Linked DNA regions of Macaca fascicularis. The protein of the gene in region 1 purifies or fractionates together with the protein of each later gene. This does not show direct contact. Links are inferred from orthologs where the notes say so. Each region holds a gene or a part of one and is shown on either strand. Other genes may lie near its edges.

Region 1 (3,656 bases):
AACATTCCTAACCACGGTTTTCAATAAATAAATGTTAAGTACCTAAAATGTACACGTGTTGTTCTAGGAGCTGGGTGTACAGTAGTGAACCAAAAGACAAAGTCCATGCCCTGCACAAAATAGGAATTACCTCCATTTAGAGGTGAGCCTTCAAGAGCTGAAGTGACTTGCTCTGGTCATAAAACTAGAGGGTGGCAAGCTCTGAAGGCAATTGCTGGGACTCCACGCCCCTCTAAGCATAACTCTGCTGTGTTCCTCTTGACCCTGATGACAGGTACCCGCAAGATGGAGTACAAGGGCAGCAGCTGGCATGAGACCTGCTTCATCTGCCACCGCTGCCAGCAGCCAATTGGAACCAAGAGTTTCATCCCCAAAGACAATCAGAATTTCTGTGTGCCCTGCTATGAGAAACAACATGCCATGCAGTGCGTTCAGTGCAAAAAGGTATTTCAGATTCCCCCTTGGCCCTTGCACATCCTGGCCGGTTTGCCTCCACGGTCCATGTCTGTCAGTTCTCTTTCCAAAAACAAGGATACCTGTGATACTGGAATGGCGTGGGAGCTGTGCCTGTCCTGCCTTACATGCCGAGCTTTATCCATTGGGTCTGGGCGCCCATCCTTCTTTCAAAAACATCAACGCTGTTGAGCTCCTGTGATCAAATCGCTTAACCCTGCCTTCTTCTAGACCATTCTAAATATATTCTTATGTCGATGACCTGATGGTAGAGGGAAGGGGAGCCACTATCCCAAAGCTGTCTTGTTCAGCTTCTCTCCATGAATAAACCAAGAAAACAACTGCAAACTTGAGAGGGAGAGAAAGATGGAAGGAAGAGGGGGAGAGGAAGGGAGGGAGCAGGGAGAAGAGAGAGACGGGATGTGAGAAGAAAAGTAAAGGAGAAAAGTCTGCCCCCGTGGATATGGGACAGATCATTTATCAAATGTATCTACTCTGGCCAGGCAAGGAGGCTCATGCCTGTAATCCCAGCACTGTGGGAGGCCAAGGCTAGTGGATCACCTGTGGGAGGCCAAGGCTGGTGGATTACCTTAGGTCAGGAGTTCAAGACCAGCCTGGGCAACATGGTGAAACTCCATCTCTACTAAAAATACACAGCTTAGCTGGGCATGGTGGTGCACCCCTGTAATCCCAGCTACTCGGGAGGCTGAGGCAGGAGAATTGCTTGAACCTGGGAGGTGGAGGTTGTAGTGAGCCAAGATCACACCACTGCACTCCAGCCTGGGTGACAGAGCAAGACTCCATCTCAAAAAATTAAAAAAATAACAATAAATAAACTTAACTACTCGATCTGTTCCAGTCATGGCTCTGTTAGGGTTAAAGAAAGAAAGGGAACTGCCTATCTGTAGGAAGCCAACTCTCTGCCCAGTTGCCCCCCGACCTGTGCCCGTCAGGGTAGAACTTGGTTTTCTGCTGTGCCCTCTGACTCTCACACACACGCAACTCTGATTATGCCGTAGCTTCCAGCGTCTCTGTGCTGTTAGGCTTTGCATCAGCCTGTTGAGTGGCACCCTCCCACGGCTCACTCGCCCTGGGCAATGCCAGCTGTGGAACTCATTGCAGGTTCTGTTTGCTCTCAACCTCTCATTGACCCTGCTTACCCAGCTTCTGCTGTGTTGCCCTTGGGGCCTCTACCCTTGCCTCTTGGCCATGGAGAAACATCCCAGTGCCTCTACCTGTACCTGGCTGGCCTGGGCAAGAATGTCCCCCTTGCCTGCACCTTTTCTAAGTGCTGAGTATTCTTACCAATTTCCATTCAGCCTTTCTCTCGTTTCCATTTTTTTTTTTTTTTTTGGAGACAGAATCTCACACTGTCACCCAGGCTGGAGTACGGTGGCACGATCTTGGCTCATTGCAGCTTCTGCCTCTCCAGTTCAAGCGATTTCTTTTGCCTCAGCCTTCCAAGTAGATGGGATTACAGGCAAACGTCACCATGCCTGGCCGACTTTTTTGTATTTTTAGAAAACACGGGGTTTCAACATGTGGGCCAGGCTGATCTCGGAACTCCTGACCTCAGGTGATCGATCTGCCTCCGCCTCCACTGCACCCAGCCCCTTTTGTTCTTTACTGTTATTTTAGATTTTATTTCTCTTAATTTCCTCTCCATTTATGCTTTTTTTTTTTGAGACAGTTTCACTCTGTCACCTGCGCTGTAGTACAGTGGCATGATCTCAACTCACTGCAACCTTTGCCTTCCGGGTTCAAGCGATTCTCCTGCCTCAGGCTCCTGAGTAGCTACTCAGGCTCCTGAGTAGCTGGGATTACAGGCAGGCGCCACCACCACACCCACCTAATTTTTGTGTGTGTGTGTGTGTGTGTTTTTTAGTAGAGATGGTGTCTCACCTTGTTGGCCAGACTGGTCACGAACTCCTGTTTTTTTCTTTATTCTTAGATTGAGGTCTCATTCTTGCTTTTATTTTAGGAACTCTCTTCCCTGTTCTCTCCCCTTTTTATTTTCATTTTGGTTTGTTTTTCTCATCAAGACCTAACAGAAGTTCATCTGAATTGCTCTTCCTCTGTCATCTTTCCAGTGTGTGCTTTATTCATTTGCGGAAATGAAAGCAACACATCCTTCTGGGATGCATGCCTTTTGTGTGCATGTTCGTTAAATACACACAAAAACCTTCACGCCAGAAGCATCCATTCCTCGACATGAACTTGGCCCTCTCAGGCACTGGGGATCCGATGCTGGACAAGATGCAGACACTTAACTGCAGTCTAGCTGGAAGTACACTCCAGTGTCAAACCCGTCAGTCGTTACTAAGCAGTGTGCTGTGGAGGAGAAAGGCAGAGTGTGGAATGGAGGGACCTCAACTCATCTGAGGAGTCGGGGGCCAGGGTGGCGTTTAGGGAGGGAGTCTCTGAGAAAATCATGCTATGCTGAGAGGCATCGAGTTAGCTGATGTGGGTGGGAAGCATGGAATCCGGAGTGAGGGAGGACTGAGGACGTATGTTGCAGGCAGAGGAGACGTCTTACACACACAGGCTACTGATGCATATGGATGCGTTGCAACCAAGCGTGTTTTGTGTTCATTCTGTTGTGCGGTGGGGTGGGTTATAGGAAGATGCTTTATGATTCATGGTTTAATGAAAAGAATACAAGATAGAAGGGAGTCTGGAATTCTAGCTCCTGCTTTGTCATTAACCAGCTATGAATTCTTCAGCAAGTCACTTTTTAATTTCTCTGAGTCTCAGTTTACTCACCCATAAAATTAGTATCTTTCTTACTTCACAAGCTTTATGTAAAGACCAAAGGAATTACTGGATGATACTGAAATGTTCAAAAAATAAAAAGCAAAAAAGCGTGATTGTGAGGTGCTTGCACTCCATCTTCCATGGCCTTCGTTTGCCAAGCTGAGGCCACCTACACTCCTTTGATAGCTTACTCAGCTCCACCACGCACGCATTTTTAAACAGAATGTGAGATGCAACATTTGGAGAAAAATACCAGGTAAAATTGAGGTACTGATGGCCGTTCCACCTTGTGTGGCTTTGCAGCTTCACCTCACAGATGTTCTAAGACCACAAGACGGGTGAGAATGAAGGCATCTGGCTGATTTTTCCCAAAACTTCCAAGATGCCCATATCTTCTTGTGGCATCAGCAGGTGCCAGTCCCAGCTGTCCTTTAAGCCTTTTCCTTCTT
Region 2 (2,629 bases), on another chromosome or scaffold:
TTGTTTGTTTGTTATTGTTTCTGACAAGAAATCAGAGCCTTGTGTTTTCATTTCTCTTTTCTACCCTAAAACATTTCACCTCAAAAATCATTCATTCATTATGGTACAATGATCAGAGCCTAGATTTGGAGTCAGGGGCCCCAACTTCTAGCTACTTGCTTGTTTGTGATCTAGGGGCAAGTTACTAAACCTATGAATCCCTCCCATTTATAGAAATTCCCTCCCACTAAGATCTTAGGGACTTCACCCTCAATGTGAAGGTTAAAATAAGTTTTGTTTTGTTTTGTTTTGTTTTGTTGAGACAGAGTTTCACTGTTGTTGCCCAGGCTGGAGTGCAATGGTGCGATCTTGGCCCACTGCAACCTCCGCCTCCCAGGTTCAAGCGATTCTCCTGCCTCAGCCTCCTGAGTAGCTGGGATTACAGGCATGTACCACCACGCCCAGCTAATTTTGTTTTTTAGTAGAGACATGGTTTCTCCATGTTGGTCAGGCTGGTCTCAAATTCCCGACCTCAGGTGATCCACCTGCCTCGGTTTCCCAAAGTGCTGGGATTACAGGCATTGAGCCACTGTGCCTGGCCAAGTTGTTTTAATGGCACAACTTCACATTCTTTGGGTAGAGGGTCTACTGGATCTCTAGCTCCCATCCCTACTCCCCAGAAAGCAAACTACGTGGACTGTCATTTAGTCCACCTAAGCACAGGCAGGTGAACCTAGCAGCAGCCCTTTTCTTTGGTTTTGAAAAGAGTATTCTAACAGGAAATTTCTTTTTCTCATCAGGTAAGGAGAGCTGCTTTGAGAGGATTGTGTCAAGGTTTGGAAAGAAAGTCACATATGTAGTGATTGGAGATGGACGAGATGAAGAAATTGCAGCCAAACAGGTAACCATGGTAAAGAAAAATAGTCTATGTGGTTGTACATCAAGTAATTAGAAAAAATGAGAAAAACTACAAAATCTTAGCAATCTATTATGCATTTATAGTATCTTCTCTTTCTTCCTCTCCCATTTTTCTTTAAAGAAAAAGAGGGTCTTTTTTTTCTCCAGATGGAGTTTTTCCTTTTAAGTTTTAGATCCATCCCTTCCTTTTCCTCCCTGTCACTCAAGAATCTTAAAATCTTTAAGCCGTTCTACAGGGATCCCATCATTCAACCTGAGATGTGCCCCATCTTCCATCTTCAAAGACAGTGCCTTCTCAAGCATCAGACTTGACTGCAAAAAGGCTAATCTTTCTTTCTTTTCCATTATTCAAGTTCTCAGACAGTACAACCAATAGCTCTTTCTGTAGAGAACGTCTTTCCTGCCTTTGAGCCCTGGAAAGATTGCTCTGATGTTAACCCCATCACTATACAGGTCCCAACTTCAGGTCACCCCTTATTTATTTATTTATTTATTTATTTATTTTCTTTTTTTGAGACGGAGTCTCACTCTGTCACCCAGGCTGGAGTGCAGTGGCATGACCTCGGCTCACTGCAACCTCCGCCTCCTGGATTCAAGCAATTCTCCTTCCTCAGCCTCCCAAGTAGCTGGGACTATAGGCACCTGCCACCATGCCCAACTAATTTTTGTGTTTTTAGTAGAGACAGGGTTTCCCATATTGGCCAGGCTAGTCTCGAACTCCTGACTTTCTGATCCACCTGCCTCGGCCTCCCAGAGTGCTGGGATTACAGCCTTGAGCCACCACGCCCAACCCAGGTCACCCCTTCTTGATATACGAAACAGTAGATGAAAGAGTCTTGGCTATAGAACCTAAAATCCCATCTGTGTATCAGCTATGTGACTTTGAACAATTATCCTCATCTGCTAAATGGATCTGTAGAAGTTCTTTCCCTCCCTACCCCAATTTATTTTCTTCCAGCAACTCTATTTCTTAGACCTGGAGGCATTGGGTTGCCAGCTAGAACCAACTGCCCTGATACTCTTCATCCAGTTAAGTAGAAATCTTAGCAACTATAATAAAGTATGAGATTGGTAATCAGTCGGCATTATTATCTCATGTTTCCGTTTGCTACTTTATGTAGCAATTCAGGGATCCTTATTTTTTCGCATATGTTATGAAGCTTTAATTCTAATGTGCTTCTTGTTGCCCTTTTTGGGAAAGACACTAGTGGGTGTATGCATCAGTGTTTCCTGGTCTGAAGAATGGTATGGGGGAGAGAAAGAACAGCTCAAGTCATCAGCAGAGTTGGTAACTCTGACAATGTCTAGAATCATCTACAATAGAATACACCATTGTGGCTGGGCATAGTGGCTCACGCCGATAATCCTAACACTTGGGGAGGCCGAGGCAGGCAAATCACCTGAGGTCAGGAGTTAGAAACTAGCCTGGCCAACATGATGAAATCCCGTCTCTACTAAAAATATAAAAATTAGCCGGGCATGGTGGTGCATTCCTGTAATCCCCGCTACTCAGGAGGCTGAGGCACGAGAATTGCTTGAACCCTGAAGGCGGAGGTTGCAGTGAGCCGAGATTGTGCCACCGCACTCCAGCCTCAGCAGCAGAGCAAGACTCTGTCTCAGGAAAACAAACAAAAAAAGTATATACCGACTGGAAAATGCTTACCACTTTATCCATTTCAAGCTATACTCTGTGAAGGATCTTTTCTGCAGCCTTTCTGACAGAAGTCTCTCT

What was found.
Region 2: the proteins of FHL2 (region 1) and EYA3 purify together in Homo sapiens (affinity purification with mass spectrometry; 3 studies listed by BioGRID and IntAct, with this or other methods). This does not show direct contact. The link is inferred for Macaca fascicularis from reciprocal best matches to the Homo sapiens genes FHL2 and EYA3.

What each region holds. Positions count from the first base shown.
Region 1 is NC_088387.1:9,795,229-9,798,884, reverse strand, and holds part of FHL2 (four and a half LIM domains protein 2), read left to right. Parts: intron 1-274; coding exon 275-444; intron 445-3,656. UniProt on the Homo sapiens protein: May function as a molecular transmitter linking various signaling pathways to transcriptional regulation. Negatively regulates the transcriptional repressor E4F1 and may function in cell growth.
Region 2 is NC_088375.1:207,099,120-207,101,748, forward strand, and holds the end of EYA3 (protein phosphatase EYA3), read left to right. Parts: intron 1-779; coding exon 780-880; intron 881-1,855; coding exon 1,856-1,963; 3' UTR 1,964-1,981; downstream 1,982-2,629. UniProt on the Homo sapiens protein: Tyrosine phosphatase that specifically dephosphorylates 'Tyr-142' of histone H2AX (H2AXY142ph). 'Tyr-142' phosphorylation of histone H2AX plays a central role in DNA repair and acts as a mark that distinguishes between apoptotic and repair responses to genotoxic stress.